Coturnix japonica: one gene and its partners. The protein of the gene in region 2 purifies or fractionates together with the protein of the main gene of each other region. This does not show direct contact. Links are inferred from orthologs where the notes say so. Each region holds a gene or a part of one and is shown on either strand. Other genes may lie near its edges.

Region 1 (7,809 bases), on a different chromosome or scaffold from region 2:
ATTCAATCAAGTTACAATTTAATTAACAGAATAAGCACGTCAAGGTGGCTGAGGGGAGTGCATGGTCTGGGTGTCCTGTTTGGGACAGAGCAGAGTGGCACTGCTCACAGGTCAGGCTGGGTCTGCAGTAGGACCTGCTCACCATTGGAGCTAATGCCCGACGCTTCAGCTCGCAAGAAAACCAGATGAAGCTGTAAATGAACGTGTGTAAATCTGAACTTACTTCGCACATATGGACATGGCAGGAAGCACAACGAAATGGACAATGAGATAAGTGCATACTTGCCATTTGTATTTCTTCAGGTGACAGCTCGTCTTCACCTTTCCCATCCCCCCATAGCCCAAGGTTAGACTGAGCGTCGGGCAGATTCCTGTCTGTAACAGAACAACCAGAGTTTGAGACAATGCAGGACAGTGAGCAGCGAAGCAATGAGCATTTCTCAATATTTCTGAGCTCTGATAAAACTGTTAGATAGCATTTCTCATTAACTGAGATTGAGCGTACAGTTATAGCACAGAATTACACCAATGGCCTTTAACTTTTAAACCAGGGCAGAGATGGACAAGTACATGGGAATTTGTGGACTATGAGGAGTATGTAAAACAACTCACAATGGACCGAGACTTAATAGGGCAGAATATACCACAGCACCTGAATTTAGAAGAACAAAACCAGGGGGTCCCTGCCCACAGCAGATGGTTGGAACTAACTAGATAATCTTTAAAGGTCTCCAACTTAAGCCATTCTATGATTCTAAACCAATGTTCCAAATGCCAGTCTCTATGCAGAGCTACCATCTCCCAATGAGATCTGACAGAACCACCAGCTCCTCATTCCACAAATGTAAAAACAGACTCCCAAAGACATTTTGAGCTACGCTGACAAGAGAAATCCAACTTATTCACATTGCTCAGGCTGCGTTTTACAGAGCAAATCCCACAGCACTCTGGGCAAGGGGCCTTCCTGCATGTAACAGAGTCAGTTCTGAACCCACAAAATAAGCCCTACACATCAGAGCTGCTCCACTGATTTCACCAGCACTTTCCCTTTGATTGAAGCTAATCATCTGCATAAATCTTAGCAGGAGTTGGGCATAAAACATCTTCAATGGCTATTTCTAGGATATTCCCTTCTAGAAGATTTATTTTTAGGCTTAATTATATACCTCTAATTATAGACGAGGAAGTTAGAATGGGAACAAAAAGGAACTTTACAACAGGAACCTACTGCTTCTGAAGCTGTTCTAATATTGGTTTAAACTCCTAACATTAACACTGCAACCTTGAGAAGGCCTCCTTCCCCCAGAGGCATTATTACAAAGCCCAAAACAGAGATCTGCACCAGCTGCAAATGAATTCAGATTTGAACTTGCTTTAACTTACCCTGCAAATTAAAATACAGCAAGATTTAGTTCTCATTTCTTTACGGCTTTCAGGTTTTCTATTTATTCTAGTTGGTCTGCTGGTTTCTGGGGGGGACAGACTGGTCCTCAAACCAGGATGGACAAGCAGTGAGAATGTTACAAACAAAGGATATGGACCTTAAATCAAATAGCTGCTCTTTCTTGCAAGTAATAAGGAAGAAAAACAAGAGCATTTCTAAAGATTGTATGGAAAGGATTCAACCCAATCTTGTCCACTGGGCATCATCAGTATTTCCAATCTATTTCACACAGACAAAACTTGTTTACCTGATCAATATTTCTAAATTATATCAAAATGTATTGAATTCAAAGAAGAGAAGATAATTAGTTTACGGAGCTAAGAAATAAGTAATATTCCTATTTTATCCCAGAGGAACCAATTACTTTCAGGCACTGTCAGCACTGTTAAAACCAGCACCTGTTATCCAATGTGACTGCTAATAAGTAAATACCCAAGTAAGAGGCAAGTGAGAAAGACACATCTCCTCAGAGCTGCATTCAGTCACCATGGTACCGCCAACAGAGCATGTCTCCAGAGAGATTGTTCTCCTACCACAAAGGCATGTAGGTGCCTTATCTCAGTAGGTGCTTTATCTCAGAAGTGTCCCATTTTGGTTTATACCTGCTGAAACACCAGACAAAACCCAAGTGGTGCCCTGGTACTCCAAGGAGAACACTCAGTTTCTCATTATAATGTTAAAATTAAGGACAGGACCAGCACCTTCAACAAGCTTCAACAAGCACCTACCAGTGAAGCTACAAGGCTGACTTCTATGGACAGGAGCTACCAAATGCACATTTTGTGCACTTCTAGTCTATTTCAGATTTATGTTAACATACAACTTTCCTAGTTTTTTTCTAAGACTGGTCAGCATCCCCTTGGAAGCACCGCACCCCCCATTGGAAGCACTACATCAGCATCACTTCTGAAACCAGACCCATATGTCTAGCTGCCTTCTCATACAAAACTATGGGGTAAGCTAGTAGGAACTAAAACTGGAGTAAACAAAATGTGTAATAAACTGTTCTTAGTTTCTATTTGTTGCAGTGGTTTGCTGTGTCCAAAGCAACCACAGAACAGTGTTTTCTTCCCACAGTGTGGCACAGATTTCTGAGCTAAAGATTGCGGTGCTGCTTTGTGTGATGCTTTCAGAGACTGTGGAAACATTCGACAATGAGGAAAGCACTGAGCTCTGCAGATGTTATTGTGCTGTGCTCCTTTGCTGTTGGTACAAACTCACAGCTGCGACATACTGATAAGGTGTTAAGGTGAAACTCACCCATGTGCTTGTGTGCTGCATCTCTCAAGACACTAAGCACTAGAAATGACACCTCATCAAAACCTTTACCTCTTATAGTAAATTCAGCCTCCTGAGAGGAGGAAAAAACCCAATGTGTATCAATAGGGCTGCACTACAAACTGGTTAGAAAGATAAGCAAATACCAAATCGAAAAAGAAAGTTTGTATGTAGTGAGGTAATTCAATATTCGAGTCTTCATTCAGAAATGGAGTACCCCCTTCATATGAGCCCACCCTTTGTAGGACCTACATGTCACTCCTCAGAGAAACTTCACTCTTCATAAAAAATAAACAACAGATTAGCAGACTAATGCTAATTGTCAGCCAATTATATATAGGAGAAACCATGCTAACTTTCTTTGAAATTCCTTACAATGAAGAACACCAGTAAGGTTAGGTGGTTTTGCACACCAAGAATCATAGAATCACAAGGTTGGAAAGGACCTACAAGATCATCTAGTCCAACCATCCTCCCTTTACCTACAGAAAACCCCTTAAACCATGTCTCCTAGCTCCCTATCCAGGCACTTCTTGAACACTGCAAGGGATGGCAACTCCACCACCTCCCTGAGCAGCCATTCCAGTGCCTGACCACTCTGAGAGAAAAAGTTCCTTCGTATGTCGAATCTAAACCTCTTCTGATACAACTTGTGGCCATGAAGAAGAAATAATTCAGGGAAGAAGAAAACAGGAAAGTGCGAATTACAGGAACGGGAATAGGCTTGTAATGGTTTTATTCTTACCTTTATTTTCCTCTGCAGAAAGTTTTTCTTCAGACTCATCTAAAGAACTTTGTGAAATTTTTTCAGGAGAAAGAGCTGATTTGGACACATTGCTCTGCTCAGGTTCAAGTTTGGACCTACAAGCACAAGAGCCTGCAATTTAATTGAGTGCAAGTGCATCTCTAAACTAAGAAAAATCACAGATTTCTTAAATTCACCTCACTCCAACCTGCTTTTGCAGACTTCACATTGAAGATTTCCCAGTCTAAATGCAAAACGGATTTAACAACCTTCACTGAAATACTATTACAAAAGCAAAGGAAGCACGTAATCTTGAACAACACAAATCACATATTCAGAGTTGAGAAGAATTTTGAAGGCCTTAGCATGAAAACCAGACATTTTGTTAAAGTTCCTGTCAAAAATAATCATATTAAAATATACAAAGTTTGGTCACTATAACATTTTTTAACTAAAAAATAGCCATCTTACCCAGTTCATTTTTTCAAGTACCATCTACTAGTTTACTTTATATTTTAAATTATCATAAGGAAGAAGTACACAAATATAGCAGAAATAGCTCTTTCCTGAAACAGGCTTATTTTATTTAACTAGCTGTAAGGAACAGCTTAACCAGGATGAGAGTGATCCTTACCTTGTCTGCCAAGAGACAACAGACCATTTAGAAGCAAAGCAAAGAAAAACCGTATGCAATGGTCAGCTACACATTCCATCTAAGTCACTGCTATGTAATTTTAATACAAAAGCAATTAAAAAAGGAGAAGCGTATTCAGTGCTTACATCAGCACTTCTGTATTTGTCAAGGATTCCTCACTATGAGTGGCTACATACTGTTTTTTCTAGTAAGCCTTCAAGGTCTACTGTTGTCTACTATGAATTCTGTAACTACCTGGTAGATGGTTAAATGCTTAACAATCACGCTGATAGAAAAGCTAAAGAACAACAGCAGAAAACCACCAAGAAATAACGCGCTGCATCACACGCTGTGCCACCTTCATCACTTCCTCCCCTCTCAAATATAATCAACAGTTAATCTCATTATGATCCGCAATCTTCTCCCGCTGCTCAACAGAAGGTGTTGCATTTTGTTTCTTTCCTCCTTTGTATTGCGTCTGAATTCTAACTCATAATTAGAAAATTCTAAGAAAAACAGTATAATGTATTAGTCATCGCTGGCTGACGACGTTATTTAAACAAGGAGAAAATAACAGGATGCATTTATTAGTACTAAAAACTCCACAAGTCTGATTTCTGGTCACTTCAACACTGAAGAATTTCTCCTCCCTCCCTGCTCAAGTTTGCTGAATACCAAGAAAGAAACCCAAAAAAACTTATTTGGATGTCCATGCTGTTAAAATGATAATTCTGACATTATAAAACATTAATTCAGGATATAATCAAAATCCGAACCACCCCAATGGAACCAGCCCATTATGTAAGACAACAGTACCACTCCAGTCACTCGTTGAAGAGCTTTGGGTGTTCAGCTGTGTAAAAGTAAACACGATAAAGAGTATTCTAACTGCAAACCTCTCAGAACTGTTTAATAAGCAAATATTTTACACTAAGTTGCAGGAAGAAGTTCTGCACTAGGATTAAGTTACTTCTGAATAAATGCATTTTTTCATTATCACACGAGAAGTATAAGAGAGCCCTGGAATGCACCTGCTGATAGTGAAAGTTCCTCACCCAGCTAAAGATTTCCATCTAGAACAATCTCCTTAGAATCTAAACATGAATAGAAGTTTTGCTAAATGCCATACAAGCTAAAGGCACAGGCTAATCTGTTTTGCTTATGTTTTGACAACGAGAGCTCATTACTCACAGTCTCTTCTTATCTATCACCCGCTTAACTCGGATGGCTCTTTGTTCTGAATACAGCTTACACACTCCTAGTTGAGAGATCAGTAAAAAACTTCAGGTTAGGAGAGCATGATTTCCTCCTTGGAAAATACACTCATTTGTTTTTAAGCACTCACTGCCGCAGAAGAAATACTACGCACTTTTTAAGTAATCTTCAATGAAGTCTAAGACAGCTGTTCTGTGCTCCTTCACCTGAGCAGACTGGATGTCCTTGTGTGCTGAAATGAAAAGAAAGATACAACATGATCTTCTAATTGGTTATTGCATTGCACAGAAGCCTGCATTTTCAGATCATACACAAGTTATATCCAAATGCCTATTAACATTTTATATATATTACACAACTCTTTTCAACATTGCTATATTTAAGCATAGGTTCTGTAAATCTGTACATTATTATTACACACTATTACACGATGTTTTTATTATATTAAGAAATATTGATTTGCTTTGTTGGGGTTTATTCTGTTCGAGTTAAAAATGTTAAGAGCTACACCCAACAACTCAAGATAACATCCATAGTTGAAGATAATTTCTGAGGAGTTTATGTAATGATAGGGATGTTATTCCATTTTACACAGTGACTTAACGATCTCAAACTTGGAAAGAGTATCCCTGTACAATGTTATAGGTGGACACCATAGAAAGAGACTGTCACTGAGCTTTGACTCAGTCCTCTATGCCATAGTGCAACTATGTAACTAAACAGTAAATATGTAAGACTATCATTTTTATTTGAAAACAAAGCACACCATGCTTGTTAATTAGTGCACACAAACAAATAACATTCAATGCTCTGGCTTATCCTTTCACTTGCATAAAAGAAGCAGTCGTGGTTCTACTCAGTCAACAGGATTATAAAGGTGAAACAAAAGAGGAATGAGGCTTTACCAGTCTCTTTACAAAAGCATTCAGAACTCACAATGCCATGCAATATTCATTCTCATATTACCCTTAACCGATAACTAAGAAAGAACATTTAGAAGCTGCTCAGTTTACCTTCTGTTCTCAGCTGATGAATGGCATCTGCACACGTCCTCATAAATATCTGAGCATCTTGATCTATCTGATCACGCTCGGTATCTGTCATCCTCCCATATTCAGACATAATATGGCTGAGAAACAAGACAAACTGTCACTTATGAAATCCCTAACATAACACCTACAAGTGCACATTTAGGATCTTCTTCCCACTCGCCATCTCCACAAAAAGCCTTTTTGCAACACTAATTTTCACAGAACATGGAGACATAAATTATTTGTATGAATAAAAAGTGCAATATCCATCAATTCTATAGAGCTGAAAGGTTTTTTACAACATTTGTTTGGAGTGGGAAAAGATATAGGAAGAACAATATATCTTATCGTCTCCTGTATTATCCAATACTGAGCAAGTAAGGAGAAAATACAACCAGAAAATAAATAGTCACCCTCAACACTTACCTAACTGTGCAAACTTCACTTCTAAATATAAGAAAACAAATAGAATAAAGGAATAGCTCCAACACTAAAGAAAGTATAACAGTTTGTAACTTATTTCACCTATGTATGCTTTTAGTTCCTAAATGCTGAGCTTCATTTTTAAAGTAGCTGTATTATGAAATTTGTGAATTCGTACCTTTTATATCAAGTAGATTATAAGACTTATTGCAATCTGTCCATATTGTTTATTTCCATTTTACTTGATCCATTATACATTTAATATATTCTAGTAGAGTTAGTATATTCTTATGCTAAGTATATTCTTATGTTTACCTTGGGTCTCTTGATCACTTGGTCACCACTGCCTGTTATATCTGCCTTTCAACAGGCAAGAAAAACCTAAATGAATAAATCTACTTTAACTCAGATTTCTATACGTGAAAAATTTCCCCACTTGTTCAATATATGAATAATGCAACTATATTAATGCAATTAAAGAAGTGAAAAGAAGGGATTTTCATTTGCCAAAGTTAGCCTGATACCCCACAGAACTATTATAAGTACTCTGTAATGTACCGAAAACCTACAGAAAAGTTTTCAACTTGTATTTTAATATCTGTATTGCTCTTTTCTGGTTGGGTAATAACAGTGAGTCTGCACATACAGTACACCCATCCCACCACCATCCTCTAACCTTACTGTAGAAAGAACCAATACTTTAAAAAGAACAGGCCAAAGAAGAGGAAAGCAACATCATCACCATCACAAACCATCAAACAAATAAACCAACCGTGTTCCATATGTCACAGATGCAAAGACTTGCTTAGAAGTACTACGAGTGACACTATCACAGCAATGAGCTGCTGTATCACTAAATCCGGAGAGATCACATGAATCCCGATGAACCAGAAGCAACCACAAGAACTAGCCTGAGTACAAGAAAAGCTTTGGCTAATGCATACAGATAGAGGAGAGGAAGGGAATACTAAATTCTTCTAGATATTTATTCTAATCAATTGGAGAAAGCTTTGTGGGAAATGTGGACTGGAAAGCAACT
Region 2 (8,313 bases):
AAATTTCCAGAATTTATTTGACTACAAGAAAACTATGCTATTGTGTGACCGATTGGTACAGATGCTTCTGAACCTCGTAAGTTTCGAGCGATTTGGGAGTAAAACAAATGTGCTTCCACTAACTCTTACGTTTGATTATTTCTCTGATTTACTCCTTTCTGATTTCATTCCAGTCTCTTCTTTCTGGGTCTGCTAAATAGTGACACATGTAAGCAAAGTGGCACTTAGTGTATATACACTACAGTAAAAAGAAGAGAAAGCCTGCTGAATGTTTTTGGAAGTAATAAAAAAATGCAGCAAATACACAATTTAATTATTTAGAACCTTTCAATTGTTCTATTTTCTGCAAAACATATTTATTTCAAAAGTTGCACACAGTTTTAAGTTCTCTTGTTCCAAATCAATGTACAGTTTAACACATCCATGATACAGCTGTCAGTCTGATAAGTGCAATGTATCTTTCAAGATAACTGGTAAACTTTTCATAATGAGGTAATAAGTACCATACTGCTCTAATCCAGATGTCAAGTAGAATCATTACTGTTTTAAATACTACTAGTATCTTAATAAGGCTGTTTTGTTTTTGTCATTCTATCCTAATGATATTTAAGTTACAGGATGATTCAAAGAAATATTAACCTATCCTGGGATACATCAGCACCACTTCCTCATCAAAGACCAGACATTTGCTTGCACATTCACATTTAATAAGACTGCTTTCGACCTAAGAGGACTCATCCTTTTGGTGCAGATGATTTGCAAAGACAATCTTCAAGCGTTTTTGTGTTTGTTTTGTTTTTTTTTTAATATCAAAGCTCACATGAATTATACAAAAAAAGTTATTGCGAATATATTACTTTTCTCTGGGTTGAGAACAAAAAAACTGAAAATTGTACTATGTCAAACAGCTTCAATTTTCTCACTTACCTAAGTTGTTATCAATTTTTTTGTGGTAAGCTTGCAGACATTGATTCTTTGGATAGGTATCCTGTTGCACTGGAGAAGTTGAATCTATGTTGCTGAAATCACTATCTGCTAAGAATACAAAATAAAGTATACAATAAAGAAGAATTGTGTTTTGGAAAGATATCAAAACTTAATTTGAATATAGATGTCATGTACATTTAGCATTCCCTCAGGTAAAGGCACTAGCGAGTCACTTCTGCCCTCTGTTGGACAGGCTCATAACGTTACGTGAAACATAATGGATATTGATGTTATCAGAAAGCATTTCTTAGAGAATTACAAATTGGGAATGCTAGGAGGATACCAGTCTCCAGAAGTTAGGCAGCAACACAAGTCAGCAGTTGATCCTACTTTCACCACTGAGCAAGTTCCCTCCACTTTGACGACAGGCATTTAGTATAAAATAAACAAACCTGAATTATCTAGGCGCCTTAAATTTGGATGACTTTCCTGGTATTTTGAGTCTTGTTCTTTGCTAGACATCATTGCTTCTTTTAATCTGGTAATAGAAAGAATAAAGCATTCTTACAGATCAAAGGTTTCATTCTAAATCAGTTAAAAAGCAACAGACATTAAAATTATCCAACAAAAGAGAACTTCCTAGACATGATCCAACATGTCCCTTTACAAATAATTATTATCACATCTTCAGTGAAAGCAGAATCAGTTGCTCTAGTGCTGAAAATAGCGTAAGCTTTGATATCAAGAACAAAACCACATCTGCAGTCTTGAAGGCAACCTATTCCTTTCCTCTAATTGAAAATAAAAAAGGGAAGCAGGAAAATCAATCCATGCAGCACTACCATGTTTTACATAAATTTCTCAGCTGAAGACACAGATGTACTATAAGACATAGTAATTCATTTCTTTTTATAACTTTTAATAAATAAAGTTGAAAAAGATGCATAGTATTTAAGAAGAAGCATGCCAACGCTGCAAAATCATGATTTCCTACTACAATTGAATAAAGCATGATGATCCAGGGGACTCTAAAAAATAACTTGTGAATAAATTCATAAAAATCTTAAGTTATTGTTACCGTTAGAAATATAAGATTTTTTTTTTTTTCAGAGTTAAAGCAAAAAGGGAACCAGACACCATCTCAGGAGTTTACAGATTCAATACATTATTTGTTAATTCTGATTTTTCTGGTGACAGTTCAGAGATGTTATGGGGGAAGAAAAAAAAAAAGCAAATGGTCTAACTGAGGAGCTCAGGAGAAAAACACATGAATGAAACTAGTGATGCTGTGAGGAAACAGAAGAAACTCTCTTTCTTAAAATCAGATAATTGGAGAGGGATCAAAGAGCACATTGTAGACAGCCAAGACCCTAGTAACAGAATGAGGAGTATATGACAGCACTGCGTCCCACTTCAAGGCTTACTCTAGAAGAACTGCTCTAGATCCAGATTCTCTCAGAAGATTTCTGATGACAGGTAATTCCCCTGCTTGAACCCAAGAAAACAGCATCATGCCCTGATAAAATTTTCATTTTACTTACCTACTGTTGCCATAATATTCAGGCATCCCATTCTGTTCTGGTTTGTTCTCAGGTGGCTTGGCTTTAAAGTAGTTAACCAGGCCTCCAAAAACACTCTTAATGCTATTTATGTGCCTTTGACTAGTCTTCAGGTCCTGGTCCATTTTATCAACCATTAGTTCTGTACGCTTCAGTGCCTCTCCTTGACGTACGAGCTCCTAATGGATATTGACAGATAAAATGAAGCTAGTAAAGCCAAGGTAAGCTGAAACATCAAGCATTTCAATAAACGTGCTTTAAAAAAAAAAAAAAAAAAAAAGCCTCTATGAACTATGCAGGCTACTCCTAAAGTCATGCAGCCTTTTCACTCACTCCTGTTGTTCTGGGGCATTTCAGTGAAAAGCTGGCAGTAAGGTACAGCATTGGCCAGCTACAAAATTTTTGCACAACCAGTTTCTCGGTATGTACTACAAAAGGGATTCAGGCACTTCCCATGCTGGCCTTCTGTCAGTTTGTATTGCTTCTTGATGGAACAAATATTGCACCTAACGGACAATGTAGTGAAAATGCAAAGGTTTACAACAGGGAAATAAAAACTACGTCTAGTTCTGAAACTGGAAATTAACAAGGGATGCTATTTTCATATTGCTAGGTTGTTCCAGATGATTTATAAACAGACTAGTTAAAGAAAGTAAATAGAGCTAGAATTTTTTTCTTCCTGCAGGATTAGTTTTAAGGTAATGCTAACGGTGCAGAAGTTATAAATCCTGGTATGCACAGCTGTGTTATTTTGTATTTCAGTGGTATTACGCCAAACCAATCCAAAGATTCATTCTGACAGAAGACGTGCCCTCAGCTAATGCCAATGCAAAACCAAGGACTTGCGTTTATCTACAGAACTCCAGAATTACCATTAACATTAAGCTAAGGCCCAATTCTTGGTCCCTCATTTCAGCCATTTGTAGCTCGCTAAGCTGCCCCCAGCACTGCTCCTGGAGCCACCCCGGCAGTCACGGTGCAGCACTCAGGCAAATTCCCAATTACCGGATGACATCACAGCAAGGCCCTCGTTAGCGATGTCTGAGTATAGACTGCACTCCAAAACAAGCACGTGAGAATTAAGGAAATGATTAACAGAGGTGGAACCAAGAGCGTAATCGACAACAAAGCACGCAGACTTCTTATTTCATCAGAGAGCTGCTGAAAACTAAGTATATATGCACTGTTAATAAAACCCAGTAAGAAACTGACACGGCTGAGTTCTGCTCTCAGTGTAAGAGGAATCTAACTGGGATTTCACGCTTTAAAAACCAGCCTTCACCAGCAGCAAACCGTGACACGGAGGGGCGTGCTGCCTCTGAGACGCCGATCGCCGAGAAGCAACGACAGCGCCCAGAGGACGGGAAAACATCAGCACCAAAACCCACAACGGCGCGGGGCGGCGGGAGGGAACAGCCCGGGCCGGGAACAGGGGCGGCCCCGCCGCCGGGTCGGTGCCGCAGGGGCCCAGACTCACCTCGGAGGTGGCCACGCCGATGCGCTCGGACTCGTAGAGCAGCGAGAGGGAGCGCGCGGTGCTGTCGGCGGTGGCGGCCGTGCGGCGCAGCACCTCCTGCTGCAGGGAGCGCTGCCGCTCCGCGCCGCGCACCTCTCCGCCGCCCCGCGTCTCCTCTTCGTCCTCATCGAAGGGGTTGTAGCTCCTCGACGCGACCGACATGGCGAACCCCCACACCCCGCTCACGGAGCCTTCGCTCTTCCGCCCGCACGCACTGGGCGGCACTACCGCTTCCCCGGGGCGGGCCGAGCGCTCCGCTCAGCGAGGGCGGTTCTGCGGCGGACGGGCAGGGCGGGGAGCTCCGGGCAGGGCGCCGCCATCTTCTCGGCGCGATTGGCGATCCACAATGTCGCGAGACGGGCGCTCTCGCGAGAGGTCTCCAGCCGCTCCTTGACGTCTCTCACGCAATGGCGGCCGCGACGGTTGCGGCGGCGGCAGCGGCGGCAGCTACGGCAGCAGCGGCAGCCGCCGCGACCGCCGCCGCGACCACCGGCGGCACCACTGGCGGCGCCGCAGCTCCTTCGGCGGGCACGGGCCGAGGGAGCGGCGTGGGAACCGCGCGGGGCTTCTACTTCAATACGGTGCTGTCGCTGGCGCGGTCGCTGGCAGTGCAGAGTCCGGCGCCGCTGGAGAAGGTGGGGGGGTGTGACTCGCGGGGGCTGTCGCGCGGGTGGGAGCTGGGCGCGAATGAGACGCGGGTGCGGTGAGGGAGAGCGCCCGGCTGTGCCCGTGTGAGCGCCGCGCAGTGCGTGGCTCTGCGGGATGAGCGCTGGCCGTGGGCGGCCGGGCGCTCTCGTGGGCCTGCGGCGAAAGGGCTGCGCGCTGACGAAACCCGGGCTGGGGCTCGTGGGGCGTAATTGGTCTTGGCCTTGTGGGAGCTGGTCGCGAGTGCAGCATTTGGTGAAGTCAGAGTGATGTTATTTGCTGAGATAGACATCTGCCGAATGTCGAACTCAGCAGGAGGGTCTCAGTCTAGGGAGGCGTTCTGCTGTGATCTCTGCTCCGCTTGGAGCTGTGGCCGTGAGGAGACGGCATCACAGCTTGGTGCCTGCGCGCAGGGTGGCACAGCTCTGTACCAACAACTGCTGTACGTGGCTGTTCTCACCCAGGTGCTACAGGGCTTTTATTTAGTTTTTCTGAAGTCCTGTTGTTGGTCATACACCTAGCTGCAAATCATAAAATCATAGAATCATTATAGTTGGAAAAGACCTCTGAAACAGTCTAGTCCAACTGTCAGCCCAGCCCCGCCATGCCCGCTGAGCTGTGCCCCTCTGTGCCACATCGCCCCAGGGAGGTGATTGAGTCACCGTCCCTGGATGTGTTTAAGAGCCTGTTAGGGTGCGATGCTCAGATATACAATTTAGCAGAGGGTTGTTGGAGGTAGGGTGCTATGGTTAGGCTGCGGTTGGACTTGGTGATCTTTGAGGCCTTTTCCAACCTGAGTTATTCTATGATACTATTATCTCCACATTTTTAAATATCCCCAGGGACAATGGTTCCACCACCTCCCTGAGCACTGTTTCTTCATATCCTGCTGTTTGCTCCCTGTTACCTGTTGTTAATTTTTTTCTTCAGTATGAGAAACTACAGTAGGAGTTAAATGATATCAGTAAGTGAGCTGTGTAATTATGATGCTTTGAAAAGTTTCTGAAATTCTTTTGAAATACAAAAAGAAGCTGACTCAAGCATTGCAGGAAACTGAAATCAACCCATGTCAAATAGTTGTAGATTTTCCCGGTATCTATTACTCATTTCTTTTTCTTGGGCCTTAGATGTTTTCATTCACACACTGATGCTTAAAGGAGGGGAATGTGGCCAAGCTGGGTGTCCTACAGGAACTGGAAAGAGCACTGTCCCCTTCAATTACAGGAGCTCTGGATGAGTGCTGAAATCCACAGCCTCCAAGACTGATTCTGAGCTGTGAAAATACTTGCATGTGTTTTGGTGCAGCCCTGACTTCTGCTTGGGGTGCTGTGGGACATGGATGTGATGAGTAGAGATGGTCCTTAAAAAAAAAAAAATAAATTCAAAGGTCTACTGAGTTGTTTTTTTGGTTTTGTTTTTCTGTTATTGTGTTTTGTTGTTGTTGCTTTGAAAGATGGTCCTAACGCTCATTTGTTTGGTTTCTTTGCACTGCTCTTTGTTTTTTGGCCTTGTTCCCCATCGTTCTTTCATTTCACTGTTCTTCAGGTACAGAAACTACTCTGTATGTGTCCAGTGGATTTCCATGGAATTTTTCAGCTCGATGAACGTCGCAGAGATGCTGTGATTGCTCTGGGAATCTTTCTAATTGAATCTGATCTTCAGGTATTTTCTCTGTTAGGCTTCCTCTTCTGAACTTGAATTGGATTAATTCAAATGCAGTAATTCAATTAATGAAAAATTGTTATTATTTATTCTAAAAGTTGGCATGATAAAAGGTCAGAAATAAAAGATGGAGCAGGCAGGAGAGACAAGGAAACAAGAACAGTACTGATGCATATGATCGTTGCAGATTAAGGAGAGACAGAAAAGATTAATTAGTTTTATGTGGGCTTGCAGGTGGTGGTAGACTAGACGGAGGCAGTTGTGTAAAAATTTTAAAGGGTAGGTGATGAATTAACCACATAGCATTGAATTTGAGGTAGTAAACGAGGGAAGTGGCTTATGAGGGGAAGCATGATTCGTACTGTCAGGTTCGTAATAGCCTCATTATGCCTTAGCATTAGCTAGGATTAATCTTGTATTCTGATGTCGTATTTAGTAAAACAAGTTTTTTCCTCCTTAGATTGCTGCTGCTGTTCTTTTTCCCATTCCCCTTTTCCCTTCCTTTCCGGGCCGGGGGCCCTACGGGGCAGCTGCCCCTGTCACGGGCACAGGTAAATCTAGGTAACCCGTGACAGACACTCAGTTTATATAGTTGACTTTGTGTGCAGGCATCCCTGTTGTATCTAATTATGACAAGCTGTTTTTTGTTTTGTTTTGTTTTTTGTCCTCCAGCACTGCATGTGGTATTGTTTTTTAAAACAGAAAGGAAATATATACTGGCTCCAGGGTCCAAAATCATTAGACTTCTTTGTGCTTTTCAGTTTCGCTAGGGTTTGAATTGGCCTGTGTTTCCACCTGTGATTCAGCTTGTATGCATAGTAGACTTTTTTTTGTAGTATGAAACTTAAGGCAATTGTATTCATTCCTCTTAGCATTTTTGTAATGTTTTCAAAGCCTTCAGTTTTAATTAATCCAGGTCTGTAAGGAAGGAAAATATTATCCCTTGATTTGTAGATTTAACACACCCATTTTGTTAAATGGGTGTGCAGACTAATTTGTACAAGGCCATAGGGTGGGTCTCATAGAGTATATAGAGGTTGGCATTTCTAGAAGTCTAACTGCCATGAAATTATTTTGTGACTTTGCTGAAAATCAGTACATTAATTGGAGAAAGAAGATCCAGAAACTTAATTAATCCCAACTTTTATCAAGAATAAACTTATTAATTTGAGTGAAATGCTTGAGTTTATAGCACTGAATTCATTTGTTTATGATCCTTTGCCTATGCTGAAATTTGTTTTGCATATACAAGAAGTATGTGGAGTAATTGTTAGAAGGAGTTTTGTGTGTGGTTTCGCTCCTTTTAAGTACCTTGGGATGATATTCTTCAGCATTTTGTCTCCATTTTAAATGTAATATTTTGCTTTTTAGCACAAAGATAATGTGGTTCCTTACCTCCTTCGGCTTTTAAAGGGACTTCCCAAAGTCCAATGGATAGAAGAAAGCAGTGCACGGAAAGGCAGAGGTGATGTTTGTTGTTGTATTGTGTTACTTTATTATTATTGTTTTTAATTATCATTCTCAATAAATAACAGACAAGAAATATAAGTAAGTCACTTCAGGGTAAGGTATAGAGGGAGGTGAGAGTTGTGATGGGGTTCTCAACAGTCTTAATATTAATTGTTCTTTAGAAATGGAGAGGAAGCTGAACACCTCCCAGCTTTCTTGCTTGACTGCTAAGGGGCAAATTAAATGATAAATTGCATTTTCCAAACAATTGAAAATAACTTAGTACTAGATTGGGGAAGATTACATAGTAATTAGAGCACCAGAGTGGAACCTGAGATGTTTATACTTTGTTTTTGTTAGATACTGATACTTAATTTCTTGCTCCCTTATTATCTCTTAAAATTAATACAAGAATAAGTCTGTTTCATGAGAGAAATTTGTTTTCTATATGTATTTGAAAACCTGGAGAAGTTTTTACAAATTAAATATATTATTTAAATGCTTCATGCTGAAATAATGATGGCTAGAATATACTATAATTTTGTTTGTACTATA
Region 3 (6,785 bases), on a different chromosome or scaffold from region 2:
CAGTGGCCCATGCTGTGGCTCTGAGTGTGAAGACCTCTTTCATAAGCTCCAGTGGTATTCCAGTTGAGGCAATACAACTTGTCTTTGGAAATTGAACATTTTGTTACTCTTTCTAGTTATTTCTGCATTTGTAGAGATCTTGTTATGAAAACACTTGGATTCTTTTATCACTGAATTCATTTGGGTCACGCAGAGAATTAAACGAATACTCTATTATCTGCATGCTTCAAGAGCAATATCAGAGACACACACAAGCAGGAAGATGTCTGAAAGCTGATGAGTTTCAGGTATTTATTCTTGCAACACATCTAGGATGGCTCTGCAGGTGGGCACCTCATCAGAGAATAATTACACCCCACCCCACAGCAATGTTGGTTATGATGCTTGTGCTTAATTGCAAATTGAAAACGAAAGCTGCACACTATGCACTGAAGCACCACTTAATGCTGCAGGTATGGTTAAGAAACAAAGTGATCAGGTGCTGATGTATAGCAAAACATCAAACAAGAGCTTTCTGCTCTTTCCTCCTTCAAAACTCATCAGTCTCCTGAAAACACCAAAAAGGTTCAACCAGAACTAAATAAAAGCAAAGCAAGTCTTTTCCAATGATACCCAACAGCACAACTGATCTTTGAAACAGACCAAGTTAGTGACCAGCTACATAGGCGTTTGGAGTTCATATGTGACGTAAGAAGGCTTAGATACGAGGTTTGGTGATACCATACACCCTGTTGATTATCAGGAACAATTTCCAAGGGGGGAAGGTGCAGTGAAAAGCAAAACAATCCACGCTACCACAAAATCTTTAAAGAGTTGTCTGACCCTGTGATTTTCAGCTCTTTGAAAAGGCAGAAAAGAACAAAGAGACACCCCTGGTGAGTGGGTTAAGATAACTACAAAGGAACTATTCTTACCAGGTTCCTTCAGTAAAATGAAGAGTGCTTTGATTGCATTTATGTTTTTTCTTTGGCCTCGCTAATCTCCCATACTGATGGATAATTTCAAACAGCCAAAACATTTCTTCTAAGAACACTGCCTCACACATATTATATCCAGATGTTTTGTTTTTCTTTTTAAGGTTCTTAACAACTATCAACATTTTCTTTAAATGCTTGAAAACTGCATTTTATACAATTAAGACTGCAAATACGTACGTGAGGGAAAAGGCAGAAAGAGAGCAACTCCATTAAGTGCAGCTTAAAGAAGGGTCTTTATGGCCCTACCATCCCTCTCCTACTCCCCCCTCCCAGGGTGTACATGCTAAATACAAAACAAAGCACAGAAACACCATAACACTTTTTGCCTAATCAAAGTATTAGCATCACTAATTGGTAGCATTACCATGGCTGGCAGGGGTCTAAATTAAATCTGATGGTTATTTAACAAGAAAGAGTAAGTAGAGTCCCAGCTTCGCACTCAGCACAAAGGCAGTCACATGAAAACTGTAGCTGGGAACCCAACACACAAACATCCATAATACAACTTACTCGCAGTCTGAGAGGCTTTCCTCCACATTACGTAGGTTATAACCACACAGTTTTTCCTCCCTTGCTTTTGGGATCCAAATACATCAGCATAAGTCTCCTTCCCACACTACGGATTCCTGTCTCTGTGCCAAAGGATAACTTAATGTCTGTGTCACCAGAAATACAGAGCAAAGCAACCTGTTTTCCTAAGGTTGGGGTCACAGAGTTGGGGAGAAAAGATCTGAGAGTTTCCATTAACAATACAAATGTTAGCACAGGAACAGCAGAAGAGCTGAAATTTTCTTCAGTACTAGACAGAAATTCAAGTCATTTACACAAAGACAACACTTAGGTTTATATAGACAAATCCTGAAAAAGAAGAAAAGAGTACTAGAAAAAATGTAACACTTTAAAAGACCTTTATTTTGGTTGCACAGTTACAATTCTGAAGTCCACCTTTGCTTAGATTGTTTCCAAGCAACATTTCATAGTTCACCATGTAAACAGTGCATTCTCTATCAGTCTAGTGTACAAGATCCTTATAAAATACAAATTGAATTTTTCCATCTGTACACTTTCTAGATTAGTTCATCAGCATCAATTAAAAATGCATATAGATTAATTGGCAAAAAAAGTGTTTGGTTACATTTTTAATACATTAGTACAAAATGGCACAAAAGAAAAAGAAAGGTCATTTTAAAGGCTATAAGCATCAGAATTCTTAAGCAGTTTGAGTAAGTTCAACTGATTAAGAACTTGTTTTCAAATATCACTGAACTTGGAATTTAACATGTAATCTATTCTTCAGATGTATGAAAGGCTTTACATATAAGTTCGGATCTGTTCATGGAAACTGAAACACAGCAGTTTCAGAACAGTAACATTCAAGTGCAGTTCGGAAGCTGGAAATTTCTATTCTTCCCAGTAAATTTAATAATTCACAGACTCGAGCTTACTTTCGTCTAGCCAAGCTCACCGATAAACACTTCAGATGCGAAGATACCAGGCATATGCACATAACACTTTATTTCTTAATGGAAAAACTCGAAGAAGAAATCCAAATAATTATATCATCCACCCTATCTACTTTCGCAGAGTCTTCCAGGCATAACCAGACTTAACGCCAGATAGAGATACATTAAGCATCTGAAAGATTAGAGGCAAACTGAAGGCTTAATTTGAAGACTTCAGTTAAAAAGAGATCACAGTAACTTCACATCTATGTCACGTTTTTGAACCACCCATATCAAATGGGCAGGTGGGTGAGGCGGAAGGGAAAAAGACAGAAGCACATTATTAGCTTAAGACTAAATTCCAACTTGTGAATTTGTTGCCTCAAGCAACAATTCAGGAGTTTGTTTTGGAAATAACATTTAGCAGTATCTCAGTGATAATCCCATCCCACTCCCCCTTCCTTCACAAGTTATCAAGATTTTGATTAATCTCCTAACCCTTAAGAGGTTTTTAAGTTAAGTTAACGGAACAGTATTTGATGCTGACTGGTTTTACTGGTAAGGCAGCACTCACGTCCAAGAGAGCAGGCAGTTATGGTATTACTGAGAAAGTTATTTCTCAAGTTAAAACAAAGTCTCATAAAAAAAAAAAGTGAGTGTGATGAAGTACAGAAAAACCATCATTTTTACTGAGCTTCACAATGAGCAAACCATTACCGCAGAAGTTTCCTTTCATAATTTAAGTATCAATTATGTTTATTTAGAGAAAACCAGATGATGATTCCAAGAATCAATGCTCCAGCAACAAGTATACCGATGAGGATGCACATCTTCTTTCGGGATCTTTGCTGTAAGCAAGGACGAAAAAGAAATTGATTGAAAACTGCACCACAAGATGAAACAACAACTGAAATGTTTTTATGGCCCTCCTGCTTGTGAAATCTAACTGAACTGTCTCCTTACAAACAAGTTATATAAAGTAATTAAAGGAAAGAATAATCCATGACTTAATTTTCTGGCTGTATTAATCAACAAAATGATTTCAGTAGTGTTTCCTGGCACAAATATTAATGCAGCAACATATTGAATGTGTTTAAATAAAACACTAGGAAAAGAAAATATCAGAAAGCAGATGGCCTTGTAAATAGGAAAATCGGTCTGCACAGTAGAGGAGGTAGAAATGACCTTCTCTGGAAAAAGAAAGATATTTTAAAAGTATAAATGTATATACAGTAGCCCCAAAGAACTGATCTCTTAGACTTCTTCAAGGTGGAGTTTGCATCAATTCAGTTATTTTAAAGTTGTTTTTGTTATGTTTATTACATTCAAATTGCTCTTAAAGAGCAACAAAACACAACTTAAAGAGACTCAGTCTCTACAGATGTCATTATAATGCAGTGTAAGACCATGTTCAAAACTTTCAGATCTCCCACACAGGTTTGTAACTTGAGATGCCAAAGCAACCAAGGCTAGGAACAGATTCTCATCCTTTATCTCAAGCAGCAAGACAGAAAATAACACACTCTACTAATGGGTTTTGCAGGCTTTTGCTAGTAGTCAAAGAATAATTACACTCAAATCTTGGGAATCTAGTTCACAGCTCCAGAGGCAGAGCAAGGCTCTGCTCTCCTTTTAGCAAAGATTTATATCACTGTTTATACTGTTTTTCCTGCGGGACTACATCTGTGCCAGTTCCTTGCTGAGCCTGGTCTCTGCCCAATACCATGCAGGCCACCAAGCTTCTTTCTTGTCTTAGATATTCTCTGCTGCTAGTTTTGCTGACTCACTTCTCCCATTTTCAAACTGAGATCTCTGCCCCTTAGCTGTTTGATCATTTCATTTGCTAGCATTCAACCTTCTACTAGGGTCCCATTCTTGCAGCCAGATTGTCTCCCTACAAATCTTAATACTCCCAGTTTCTTCCTTTTTCATCCTGGAGCACTTTTTACCAACACCACATTAAAGTCAAACATTTTCTCTGTAACACTACTTAGGCAAGGTAGTGGAATAAAGACATGGAGTTCTTATTTCCTTATACACTTGATGATCATTTCCACAAGTATAAAGCAGCGGCAGTAATGGAGGAAAGAAACAGAGCAGACAAGCCTGGCTTTGCCCCAGTAGCTCTGCTCCATGAACACATCCCACAGGGCAAAAGGATGGTGAACACTTTCACAAAAAGGAGTTGTGAGAGCACTAACCAAACCTAGTTCTCAGTAGGATGCCTAAGCTTCTACCAGTTCCCTAAGTGGGTAAGAGCACAGATATATTAAATGGTTTTTCAAATACTCAGAACAAAGCTGAGCATTCAAGCAAAGGCAAGTTCAAATTTCAAGTCAACTATACAGTCCCTCCTAACACAAGCAAACTCTGCTGAGTATTTGGTCTCTGCTGTGAGATGCATGAAACAAGAGCTTGTCAAAAACTTGATAACCTTGAAAATACTTATCCTTGCCCTTTTAAGATGAATCAGTGCAAAGGTTTTCATGTTAAATTTCCACCCCAAAACAGACACCTTCCAAAGAAAATTTTAACTGTTGCTATCTTTTTTTCTTCCACAATTTTGTCAGTATCAAAATAGCCATCAGTCATACTTAATTACTGCCACCTAGCATACAGTTTGACATGCCCACCCTTTTTCCCTCCCACTTCTGAGATCAGCAAGCAATCCTTCAGATATTTTGTCATTGATTTACCAACTTGGCTACTGTTAATACACATAAGAGGATTAATATTTTTTTGTTGTTGTTTTTTAAATCTTAGGACTAATTTTCACTAAAGAAGGAAGACTTATTAGTAATAAGATTACTTGTTACAAGTGCCAAAAAATCAAAAAGAAGCGGCATTAAAAGGTCTTTCCAAAGGAGCTTTTCATCAGAAAATTTGAGAGTTTGAAATGCATTTTTGGCATCAGGGCAGCAATTAGCAGAAACTAGACATACTCAAGTTTTGAGATGAATTTTTACAGTAAAAATTGATTCTAATACAGCATCTTCAGAAGACTTCTGTACTCTTCTAGTGATCTTTAAAGACTCACTCTTTACCTTTCCTTCTTTAGTCGTTAAAAGAACACATTTTTGTTCTAAGTAGCAGTAAAATTCAAGGTGATCTGAAACAACCTAGCTAACTTTATGTGAAATCCAAAGCTTTTAGAACTTGCTCTTCTCCCCCAAACACCTCCATGGTGACCTAACAATACCGTCATAGTCTAGAATACACTTTCAAGAGAGTCTTCAAGACCTAAGAAAAAGTCTAATTCTGAACTACTATATTAAATCAGGACTACTGAGAAAGGAATCAACTGGCAGTAGGCATTGACATTACCTGGTAGTTTGCTGCTCTTGCCAGCTGCTGGTTTGCTTGTTGCACATGTACTTCAGCATTTTCCACATTAGCTTCTATGCTATCTGTATTTTAAAAGGAAAGATTTCAAGTTTAGATTAGTCATTAGCCAACGAAACATTTGGAATACTGAAATACACTTGAGAGCAAGTGTGCCACCTTGCCCCTCAAAGTATTGATTATTTTTCATTCACACCCTAAGTTTCATACCATGCATTATGGAAGCTGACCTTTCCTATACTTGAGGTCATTTCTGAAATGCCTGGGTTAAGTTCATGTCAGAAAGAATACCTCTTGCTCTCAGCAGAGATGAGCCTTCGAAACTGACCAGAATAGAAACTTACTCTCAGAAGTTTTCTGCCATTCAACTTGCTTCTGACTACCCTTTGCTCAGATTAATAAAAACAAAAACTAATATCTATGAGATCAGAGGAAACATAAAAAACACCCCAAGAGGCAGGAATCGAATATGAACACACAATTCCAAAAACTACTGTTACACATACTGTACATTTTAAAAGCATGTAATTAAATGTACATTTAAACTATACTTTTAAAAAGTATCTTTATGGATCCCCAGTAACCTCAATCTACCTACTGTTAAGTTGCACCTGATTAGCTTTAGCATTAATGCTCTTGCTAGAGGAATTTTCCCAGCAAAATAAATTTTCTGCACTGCTGCTCCCCAAAGACATGAAATAACTTTTCAGATAATAGTTGAGTTGGGCTTACCTATCACATCGCCTTGCTCATGAATCATCATTCCTAAGTCTTTAAAAATTTCATTGATGTCCATAATATCAGACTGCAAGGAAACAATCATAACATTACTTGAAAGAGCATAACAAGATATCTGTAAATATATCTAAATATATTACTCATTTTTTTCCTGCATATACACTCTTCACCCTACCAAGAAAAAGAGAACTTTTAATATTTATCTGGAAGAATTTTTTGTACTACCAGACAAAGTTTATTAAAATCAAACTAACTGAAGATGACTGTGCATGAAGCACAATTCATG

Evidence for each region. The genes of interacting proteins can lie anywhere in the genome.
Region 1: the proteins of SNAP29 (region 2) and STX18 purify together in Homo sapiens (affinity purification with mass spectrometry; 3 studies listed by BioGRID and IntAct, counting the BioPlex papers as one, with this or other methods). This does not show direct contact. The link is inferred for Coturnix japonica from reciprocal best matches to the Homo sapiens genes SNAP29 and STX18.
Region 3: the proteins of SNAP29 (region 2) and STX7 purify together in Homo sapiens (affinity purification with mass spectrometry; 3 studies listed by BioGRID and IntAct, counting the BioPlex papers as one, with this or other methods). This does not show direct contact. The link is inferred for Coturnix japonica from reciprocal best matches to the Homo sapiens genes SNAP29 and STX7.

What each region holds. Positions count from the first base shown.
Region 1 is NC_029519.1:71,357,276-71,365,084, forward strand, and holds part of STX18 (syntaxin-18), read right to left. Parts: intron 6,446-7,809; coding exon 6,330-6,445; intron 5,549-6,329; coding exon 5,471-5,548; intron 5,360-5,470; coding exon 5,293-5,359; intron 3,584-5,292; coding exon 3,468-3,583; intron 376-3,467; coding exon 287-375; intron 1-286. UniProt on the Homo sapiens protein: Syntaxin that may be involved in targeting and fusion of Golgi-derived retrograde transport vesicles with the ER.
Region 2 is NC_029530.1:56,641-64,953, forward strand, and holds the start of SNAP29 (synaptosomal-associated protein 29), read right to left. Parts: upstream 4,318-8,313; 5' UTR 4,165-4,317; coding exon 3,964-4,164; intron 2,666-3,963; coding exon 2,469-2,665; intron 1,466-2,468; coding exon 1,380-1,465; intron 1,036-1,379; coding exon 928-1,035; intron 1-927. UniProt on the Homo sapiens protein: SNAREs, soluble N-ethylmaleimide-sensitive factor-attachment protein receptors, are essential proteins for fusion of cellular membranes.
Region 3 is NC_029518.1:51,549,588-51,556,372, reverse strand, and holds the end of STX7 (syntaxin-7), read right to left. Parts: intron 6,567-6,785; coding exon 6,494-6,566; intron 5,827-6,493; coding exon 5,744-5,826; intron 3,268-5,743; coding exon 3,166-3,267; 3' UTR 1,869-3,165; downstream 1-1,868. UniProt on the Homo sapiens protein: May be involved in protein trafficking from the plasma membrane to the early endosome (EE) as well as in homotypic fusion of endocytic organelles. Mediates the endocytic trafficking from early endosomes to late endosomes and lysosomes.